2 separate regions of the Mus musculus genome follow, and region 1 is reported to be linked to region 2. Evidence: microRNA targets listed by miRTarBase, many of them from high-throughput screens and not tested one by one. Region 2 holds a microRNA gene; the other region holds the end of a gene's coding sequence.
Evidence for each region. Region 2 holds the annotated microRNA mmu-miR-3104-3p (ACGCUCUGCUUUGCUCCCCCAGA, at 2,162-2,184, opposite strand). A microRNA usually pairs through its seed, bases 2 to 8, with sites in the 3' UTR of a target mRNA and lowers its output. Matches are read on the target gene's strand: a 7mer-m8 pairs with bases 2 to 8, a 7mer-A1 pairs with bases 2 to 7 and ends in A, and an 8mer does both.

Region 1 (5,074 bases), not on the chromosome of region 2:
AGTGGATGAGGTCATTGTAAATCAGTATGTGATTCGACCTGGCCCAACAGCCTCTGCACCTTCATCGTCTGGGCCAGTGATAGCAGGTGAGCCCCTGGAATGCCCCACCTGTGGGCATACATACAACGTCACTCAACGGCGGCCCCGTGTGCTGTCTTGCCTGCACTCCGTGTGTGAGCAGTGCCTGCAGATTCTTTATGAGTCTTGCCCTAAGTACAAGTTCATCTCCTGTCCCACCTGCCACCGTGAGACTGTGCTCTTCACTGACTATGGCCTGGCTGCACTGGCTGTCAACACATCCATCCTGAGCCGCTTGCCACCTGAAGCCCTGACTGCCCCATCCGGTGGACAGTGGGGGGGTGAATCTGAAGGCAGCTGCTACCAGACCTTCCGGCAGTACTGTGGAGCTGCATGCACCTGCCATGTGCGGAACCCACTATCTGCCTGTTCCATCATGTAGTGTCCACCTGCCCACTACTGCCTGCAGGTCCTTGCTCGCCGCTTCTTCAGGGAACTGGCTTTGTCCTGTTGCCCGCTGACCCTTTCTTGCCCACTGTGGCTTCTGGCCCTACCCTGCGTGGCATTGTCGCTGCAGCCAACTTTGCCATTAAAACTCTTTGCCAAAGTTTGCACTTGTTCACTGATTGAAGCTAACTCCTGTGGGCTATGCCCATGCCTGGACCTAGGGTAGGTTCCCAAGGCTATAGTCCAACATGGTCTAACCAGGAGCTGCCAGAGGGTGAACCAGCTCCATTCAAGGTTGGCTTGCTCTGCTTGTGGAAGGGCAAGCTGGCCCGAGTGTACTGCTTAGGAGGTCTGGACTAGCTGGGAACACACTGGTACATGGAGATGGGGCCCAGCTAGGGAGACAGAACTTTTAGCTGTGTGTGGTGAAGTTCATTGGTAGTCCCAGCACACTGGAAGCTAAAGCAGGAGGGTTGTGAAGTCGGCATGGGTTGCACAAAGAGATCCTGTCCAAAAAACCCACGTACTTTTCTTCTGGCCAAGGATGTATGGAAACAGCCTCTGGACAGCATATGTAGAGGCTTACAGTTGGCTACGACCAAGGACCCAGCAGTCTTTTAAATGATCTGCCTATGACTGGAACAGGTACCATTGAAGGGTTGTGAGGAGAGTGCCTGGATGGCAGAGATGGAGTAATAATGAGGATGGCAGAGGTAATGATAGAATCAGTAACAACTGTTTATTGAGAACTTTTTTTTTTTTTTGGGAGACAGGGTGTCTCTGTGTAGCCCTGGCTGTCCTCCTGGAACTCGCTCTGTAGACCAGGCTGGCCTGGAACTCAGAAATCCACCTGCCTCTGCCTCCCAAGTGCTGCGATCAAAGGTGTGCGCCACCACTGCCTGGTCTGAGAGCCTTTCTTATGCTTGTTATATAGGACTCAGCCTGAAATGTTACACCTTACATTGTGTCACCAATGAGCCATGAAGTGAGCTTAGATTTGTCTGCATCTCCCAAGTGAGGGCTCCTGGTCCAGTGACATGAATTGCAGAGTCAACTAGGAACAGAGCTAGACCTTGGGCATTTGGAGGCTTCAGGGTCTGGATGGGCCCTTGCAAAACAAAGGCAATATTGATCCCAGCTCCTCTGGGCTACCTTCTCTGGTGAGAGTAGCTTAGGTTGGGTGGGAGCTTTTGAAGGCTGGCTTGTGCAGTGCAGGCCTCTCCTGGTAGTTACTGTGGCTGCTGCTGTTGCCTTCAGGACACACACCAGCTTCTGTCTGGTGCAGGTGAGAGTCTGCAGCCCTTGCCTTCTCCAATGAACAGATCTCAGGATAAACAGAATCACTGTTGGAATCACACATTTGTGTCCACTCTCACCAGCTGGACTACGAGCTGGCGGTATAGCCCAGCTTCTGCCTGTGGCCAGTGAGATGACCGCCCATGGCAAGCACATAGGGTTCTTTTCACAACTCTTTCTGCCAGGCCAAGCTCCTTCAGAGGCTGTCCTTGTGTCCTTGGCTTTAGCTAATATCTAGGCTGCAAGGGTGTGTAAGCACTCTGGCTGGCGTAGGCTCTTAGGCATGTATAGTCTTGGTATTGGTGATAACAAGTCTTTGCTGATTACCAGAATCCAAGCGTGCATGGACTTCAAAGCTTGGCCAGCATTCTGGGCTCTGCTTAGTGGGTGGAACGGTCTAGCAGCATGAAGAGCACCCCTAGTAAAAGGAGCGGCATGAAGATGACCACCAGCCCGAGCAGTTCAAGGACCAGTAGGCTCAGCAGTGACAAGCGGCGGGCACAGGGGCCACGTTCCCGTAGTGCCCACAACCAGGTGCCTAGGCTGGGAGGGCAGGGCAGGAAGGGGAGACAGCTTCGCCCTCCCACAGGCCCTGCCAGGAAGCGCAGCTGGTAGCGGTGCTCTAAGGGACCCCAGGGCCAAGGGCCAGGATGCAGGGCTGTGACGGATGCAGTCCGCATTGGGCGCTGGGGTCCATCAGCTCGAAGCAGTTCCTCCTGCAGCTGACAGATCTCCCACTCTAGCATAGGTGTCTTCTGACGACACAGTGGACAGCACACACGGCCCAGGTCAGCTCTGGGGGTCATGCCTAACAGCTGGTGTAGGCAGCCCACACACAGGCTGTGACCACAGTTTAGCAGGGTCAGGTGGTGCTCACTAGGCCCATAAGGCTCAGCACAGATGGGACATTCCTCCTCCTCCACAACCTGCCCCTCACCTTCCTGCTCTTCCACAGTTGACTCCAGGGCCCTGGCAGCGGATGGGTCTCTGGCCTCCAGTTCCGGTTTACTGTCTGGAGTTCTGGCACCCAGAGGGGCCCTGAGATCATCCTCTCCATCTGCTGGTAGCTGGCACAGTGGGTCCAAGAGCTCAGGACCCAGAGAAGCACCGGGTGAACTAGTAGACACAGAGCTGGTGTCATTAGGTCCCAGGTTACCACTAGAACAGAGGTCAGGATGCGTAGACGGAGACTCCAGGATGACTGCAGGGATTGTTGTAGATATGAAGGTGTGGCCCTCAGGAGCCAGGCAGAGCTTGGCCTCCACCCATCCACCTGAGCACTAACCTCTAGATAACCCTTTCGGCTTGCTGACCTCACTGGAAGTAAGCTTCACTTGGGTCCCCGCAGCATGTCAACTCTTGGTATCTGAGGCCTAAGAGTGGTGTTGGTCTGGTCCCTGTTTTCCACAAGCTGACAGACAGAACCGAGGTTCCTTAGCGCCCAGCTGCCCTTGGACCTGTCTGACTGCTCCAACAGGGTTTCCTTCCCAGCAGTGGAGGCCCTGCCCATGGGCGGGCCAACACAAATCACACCCCCTCCACCTGATCATTCTTTCAGTTCTTTGGAAAGAATAGTGCATGCTGGCTCTTGGCTGGGACTTCCAAATAAATAGCTCTCTAAGCCCTCTCTGCTTGGCCATGAGAGAAGGGTATATGAGCTTGGCTGAGTTGTGTGGCCATCAGAGAAGGGGACTAGCTTGGCTAAACTGTCAGTACAAGCCTGTGCTCATGCCCTGGAGGGCTCTTTGCCCACCACTAGCAGATGCAGATAATCCATGTCCCAACCACCACTCTCAAATCTAGAAGCAATAAAAGAGAAGTGAGCGGCTACCCAGGCAGTTAACTCATGTTTATGGACCTGCAGACAGACAGATTTGCCCATTCCCAATGCTCAGGAGACTTGGTCCCTGGTGGCTTTTCAACTGAGCTGAGCTGCACAGGTGTTATGGGACTAATGGGAATAGCACGGGGTCAGACGGGCAGTGCAGCCCGCACAGCTCTATGTCCTTTGGAGGGCTTAGCAGGCCCTTGGTGGTAGGGACTATAAATGCAGATTTGGGGCAGAATGAAGGGGTCTGAGAGAAAACCAGGAGTTCTAGCTGCACCGGGGCTGGGCCTACGTATGGGACACTGGGTTCCACTGAGTTTGGCTGTACGCAAGGACTGCCCTCCTGGTCAGCTGGACCAAAAAAGCGAAACTGTGGGTCTACCCAGTGTTCTGGGATTAGAAGGCAAGAGGTAACAATGGGCCTTCTAGACTCCAGCAGGCTACCCAATGCAGCTGTTAATGTGAGTGTGAGCTAGCAAGTGGCTCCTCAGGCCCAGGTTTCAGTCTGGAAGCGCAGTGTCTGCTGGAGCCTAGCAAGGTAGGCAGATGCATCTGCAGTGGAGAGTCGTCCTTCTTCTTGAAAAATGGACATAAGGGCTTCCGAAACATCCGTAGGCAAATATTTAGCATTGCTGGAAAGGCAGGCCTCAGAAAGCTCAGTGATCCCGATTCCCAACCCTTACTACTACCCTTCCCTAAAGGCTGGTCCACCCCCCGACATTCCCAAGTTTGCTCACCCTGCTAGGTAGAAGTAGGCACCTTGGCCATCCAGCAGCTCCCAGACAAGTGGCCCCAGCTCTCGAAGCCGGTGCTGCACATATACCTTCTGCTCCTGCAGGTGTCAGAGGCTAAGTTTCAGCCATCCCAACTCCTGTCCTATCTAACTTGAATATACTCACCTGCTCCCGGGAGAAGGCTGTAACCAGGGTCAGCCAGCCCTTCTGCTCTAGCTTCTGCCATTCAGTCTGCCAGTAGAAGTCCTGATCCCGCTGGCGGCAGCCAAAGAACAAGAAGTTTCCTGGGGTACATAGGGCGGTCCCCGTCTGGATGCAGAAATTCAGCTAGACCAGGCTCAGTGGTCAGGTCACACTGCTTTGGAGCTCCAGTACTCACCAGTTTGGCCATGAGCCACTCGTTCCTGAATGGCTGCTCGGAAGGGGGCCACACCAGTTCCAGCCCCCACCATGATAATGGGTGTGTCTGGTGTTTTTGGGAACACGAGGCTCCCAGGACGTACCCACAGAGGCACCCGGACAGGTCCTGCTGCAGAAGGGAAATGGCATGTAGGAGGTCAAAAGACAGTGCTAAGGTGCTAAGTGCTTGAGCTCCTGGGGTAGCAGGAACAGGGGAAGATGGGCACTTGAGGCTATACTCTCTCCCAACCCCGAGCCCCAGAACTATGGATTTACCTTGCCCAGGATTCAGGGATGCTAGCCAGGAGGAGCAGAGACCATGGCGGGGCTCCTTCAGACGAGTCTGGTACTT
Region 2 (5,074 bases):
CACAGGTCCTTACTGAGTGCTGGCAACAGGGCCAAGGCCTTTCCTCTTGTCTGGCCACTGTGTGAGGTGGCACAGCTACAATGATGCAATGGTTTTTGCCAATACTTTCCCCTACCCTCTGCCCCAGTCATAGGACGTTTTCCTACTTTCATGCCAGTGGCTACCAAGGAAGTAACTACTGAGAGGCCACCGTGAAAGGTACAGAGAAGCCACACTGTACAGGCCCTCAGTGTCTGTAGGGTGGGTACACTGGGCCCACCCACATTCCCTTCCCTCCAGCTGAAGGCTAGAGCTACTCTGTCTTTCTCAGACTTCTGCCAATAACCCTAGTGCTCTCCCTGGGTCCTGTATCTTGTAGCTGTCCTTCTTCCTCAGCACAAGCCTGTTTTTCCTCATGTCCAAACCCTCCCTGTGATCCCTTAGACTCTAGGGAAGCCCAGAGCACACCCACTTGTCCCCAGCCAACTCTAGAGTTGTCATTTCTCATGTGGACAGAACCTAAAGTTCATAAACACTCATGGGCTGAGTCAGGCCCAAGGGGTTCGGGCCAGGAACCAAAAGCCCTCAGGTGGTTATCCCCTGCCTGATGGGAAAAATCCTGGGTCCCTCTCTCATCAGCCTCAAGCAAAGCCACTTACTCTGGAGAGGATTCTGGGGTCAGGTTGGACATCTCCTCTGGCGTGGGAACTGTGCACAGGAAAGGACAAAGGCAAGGTTGGATGTTGCTGCAGGTTCTAGTCTCAGGACCATGCCCATTTTGTCTTCACCTCCCCCGCCCCCCCTGCTCAGCCTGCTGTCAGAGCTCTGGTGCTGAAACCCCATTGTGCTTCTCCAGGCCCCAGATGAGCAGAGGAACTGGCTCCAGCATAGCCTAAGACCTGTAGTCTTTCTGACCACCCAACAGGCCTCGCTGCCCAGAAGATGATAGAACAATTCTGGGACAAGAGGGTACAGGGCAGATTCAGAGGCCAGTGCTTATGGAGAGGCCCACAGACCCGCCAGCTGTTGGCATGTTCCATCTGAGCAGTGCAAGACCCCCTGTGCAGATTCCACCACCTACCCAGCCCCATATCAGCGCTAACCTTGGAGTTTCCGGCGGTGGAATCGAGGTGAGCCCAGGAAGCTGTTCTTGATGGAGTTCAGTCGTGTCCGCCAGGGCACTCCTCCAACACTAGGGCTGGATGGTGGTGTGGGGTTGGGTGTGCCAGCTGGGCTCTCCTTTGGCGTGTGGACAGGCGTCCCTTTGGGGGTAGGAAGGGGACTACCCCTTGGTGAGGGGTGAGGGGTCACCTGTATGGTGGGGACAGATTTGGTGTTTGGTTCAGTCCCAGTTGGCAGGAGCCGAGCAGGTGCCGGCAGGGTGGGTGGCCCAGGGGACAGGGCCAGTGGAGTGCCAAGGCTGGCTCCAGGAGGCTGGGTCTGGGTGCAGGCTGGGAGCGGGTTGGACTTGGTGCCCTGCAGCGGCTTGTCTGTCAGCTTGGCCTTGCACGGCAAGGTCTGAGTCTTGGGGTTGGGCCGCAGGGCGGCCTGTGGAGAGAGGATGTGTCCTGGCCGAGAGGTGCTCCGACAAGCTTCAGGCTCCGAGGAGGTGGCCAGGGAGCAAGCCACATAGGGGAGCTCAGGGGGCAGAGGGGGCAGGACAAACTTCCTAACAGGCTACAGTGACGCAGAGTGACGTCAGGAGGGGTGGCCGCGAAGTGGAGCCCGTGCCCACCCCACCCACATGCACACATAGCAACCAGGATCAGTGATAGCATTCAAGCAGGAAACCCAAGCAGGACCAGAGGGAGGGGACAGACATGGGGAAGGTTTGCCACAAAAAAATAAAATAAATAAAAAATAAAACCAAAACAACAACAAAAACAAGTGACATACAAGAAAACGGACAACACAAAACAAAAGAACATGCAGTTAGCCAGAGCCCAGCAGCAGAGCAGCAGCCAGGAGGAGCCCACAAAGGAGGCCTGTGTGCAAGGCAGAGATGGGGCTTTTTCCCAGTCTGTGGAGGCCCTGCTCCCCACCCTGGGTTCTCTAACTGGGGTCCCTTTTGATTTCCTGAGGCTAGCTCTGTAAGTGAAGGCTTAGGAGGGTAGTCACTCACCCGAGGACTGCTGAGTGGACTTGTAGAAAGGCCTGAGGACGCACCACTGATGGATCGAGATCTGGGGGAGCAAAGCAGAGCGTCTGTCAGTTCAGCAGAGGGCTCCGGCTCCTGCCCCCTAGTTGGCCTTTCCGGGAAGCGTGGGGTCCTGACCCGGAGCTCCAAGGCCGAGGAAGGTCTCTAGAGGCACAGATGTGTCCTGGGGCCATCCTGCTGACCTTGGCTGTCACCACCCAGTATGTATCCAGGGTCCCTGGGGCTCCTCCACACTGAGGAGCCACCCACCATCGACCCCGGACAAGGTACAGGAAAAGGTACTAAGTGACTATCAACAAAAGTCCACAGACACTGTGGACAGAGATGCAAGGACACGCTATGGGGGATTCCTGTAAACTAGATCCAGGCTTATGCAGTCCATGACCCCAGCACCCAAGTCCAGCCTCTTCAGGACTGTGCTATACAGCATTCAGTATATGATTCACTACATGGGACTTGCCCAGTCCTTTCACATCCACAGCTACCTACAAGAGAAGCCCAGGGCCAGCCCATAGCCTTCATCTTAACCCTCTATTGCCCCACTGGGCTGAAGACCTAGCCTGCAAGTAGCAGGGAGCAGGTACTACCCCTATGTGTCCGTTATAACATGATGAACAGCTAGCTAGCTGCCCCACAGGTCAGAGACAATGCCTTCCATCCAGCTCACCATGAGAATGGACACAAAAACACAGGTTCACCCTTGGCTGTGGGACCTGTCATCTTTGCGGGGGGAGTGGGGTAGGGTGCAGCCACAGGACAAAAGAGGATGAAAGAGCATTACACCAGTTTGCACTGCCCTGGCCTGCCCACCACTAACCACACTATACACAGTGGGTTTCTGGTTCTCACCTAGGCAACACCAGTCTCTGTTGGCTCCTTTCCAGCTCCTAGAGCACCTGTAACTAGAGCCCTGTGTCCATGACTTCCAAGTCTCTCTACTTACTGCTAAAGGAGCCTGAGGAACAATGGAGACCCGTGGCCAGGGCAGCATGCCTTAGTCAGGGTGGTACCAGGGCTCCCCACTGGAACAAAGGTCCAGATGTACAGCTGGGAGCCAGTCCCTGAGAAGATGGAGATGGGGTGGAGATACCAGGAGCCAGGGAAGAGGGGACACAGCCACAAGCAGTGAGGCCTAGTCTAGGCCTCTGATCCCACCATGCCAGACAGGAACACATTGCTGGGCACAAGGGAAGAAGAAGGGAAGCTGAGACATAAGCATGGGAGCCACATCAACCTCTCTGTCTAGCGATACTGGAACTGAGCTGCAATTTGTCCAAAGTAGAAAAGATGACTCCAGCCCCGAGGGAAGCCAAGTAGGCAAGAGGCAAGCAGGAAGGGGCACAGGCAGGTACAGGGACAGTATGGAGCTCAACTGGATGTGGCCTAGCTAATCAGCAGCACACGTGGGCAGCAGCTGTTACTGGCCTACTGCCACCTGCCAGGAGCATAGGACACTTAGCCACTTCATCTAAACTGGCCAGCCCTTGTGGGAATAACACCAAGACCATCTGGATAAAAGAGTGGCAGGGGGTGGCAGGCCTGCAACCATAAGGCAGGTCTGTGCAGGGTGCAGGGCAGTACCCATTGCGGGCCTTTGCAAGCCTTGAGTATGAGGGCCTCTGGCTTGGGCTGGCCATGGGCCTTGCCCCAGCAACCCCACCCCTCCTTGCATCCTTATAGCTGCCCAGGCTAGCTCTTCCCCTGGACTGCTAGATAGTTCCATTCCCAGAAAAGAGAGGTGGAAGTGTCTGTCAGTAAGCCCTGCCTCCAGGCCCGCCTCTGTCTGCGGAGCTCAGGCAGGAGTCCTGCATCTAGGGCTGGGAGGGCGGATTGGATGGGCAGGGTGTATACCTGTCTTCTTTGCTGAATTGGGGATGGGCTTCAGCGATATCCAGGCTTTTACTGAACACTGCTTTACTACAGCAGGAACAAAGCGAGAAAACAGAGTTACTGCCCGGCCACACGCACGCAGGTCAGCTGCTGGGCCATGTGCTGCCTGGCCCTCCAAGCATGGCCCACCAACCCCAAGCCAGGGGACAGAGATGAAGAGAGAGGAAGGGGACAGAAGCCACAGCACAGCCTGCCCTGGGTGACCTTCCAGGTAGGGAGGTAGCCAAGCTTAGAGATGTCTAGACTCAGCACCAGCCACAGGATCCCTTGTCCCCACCAGTGGTCCCATCAGAGCCCAGTGTCAAGTGGCAAAACCAGAGCAGAAGCAGGCTAGATGTTCCAGGACAAAGGGCCTTCCAGATTCCCTTGGAGACAGACTATCCTACAGATGGGCCCACCCTGCAGCACATAGGTCTGGAAGCTCAGGGCTGAGCACTGACCCTTTGGGGTTCAAGAGAGGCCAAGGAAAGGCAACCATCTCTTGAGTACATGGTGTACACTAGAGCTACTGGGAGAACTATGCTGAGGTGAAGCATATCCACAAGAGGCAGAACCCAGGAGAAGGGTTAGGTAAGAACATGGCCAAGAGGGACCCCTGCTGTCCCGCCTTGTTGCCAGAAGCCAAGGGATTGTGAGCCATGGGTGGCTAGAAAGTTGGGAGAAGTTTCTCAAGGAGTGAGACTTTGAGGCTGGAGCATGAGCTAGCCTGGATCCATGGGGAGCCTGGATCCATGGGGAGGACCTAGTAGGTCTGAGATACCAGCACACTAAAGTCAAGGTAGAGGAAGTGCTATCTTGATGACTACCTAGCCATGACATGGCTCCCAGTTACTGACAAATTCAGGGGCAGAGCTGGCTCCCAGCAGAAAGAATGGGCAGTGGGTGCTTCATGCAGAGTACAATGCTGACTCTGCGGGCAAGGCCTGTGGGATCTCCCAGCTCAGGCCTGTTGACAGATGACCAAGCCCGCCTGCCTGTTAGGGTGCTCCACTCAGCCAGAGCCCAGATTTGCAGGCTCTAAGTGCCCTTCTTCTCAGCACTCTCCTG

Region 1: miRTarBase lists Ndor1 as a target of mmu-miR-3104-3p. Seed matches in the 3' UTR shown: 8mer at 1,275-1,282.

The regions. Positions count from the first base shown.
Region 1 is chr2:25,243,634-25,248,707 of GRCm38, forward strand. It overlaps Ndor1 (NADPH dependent diflavin oxidoreductase 1), which reads right to left. Exons shown (of 14, transcript NM_001082476.2): 10 at 4,999-5,074; 11 at 4,703-4,852; 12 at 4,489-4,607; 13 at 4,327-4,421; 14 at 1,180-4,221. The coding sequence ends at 4,077. Rnf208 (ring finger protein 208) reads left to right here. Exons shown (of 1, transcript NM_176834.2): 1 at 1-628. The coding sequence ends at 460. Among named protein-coding and RNA genes, the nearest start is that of Rnf208, 3.2 kb to the left of the region's middle.
Region 2 is chr7:141,989,328-141,994,401 of GRCm38, reverse strand. Mir3104 (microRNA 3104) reads right to left here and starts at 2,223; the gene lies at 2,161-2,223. It overlaps Brsk2 (BR serine/threonine kinase 2), which reads right to left. Exons shown (of 20, transcript NM_001009930.3): 13 at 2,102-2,162; 14 at 1,083-1,290; 15 at 639-687.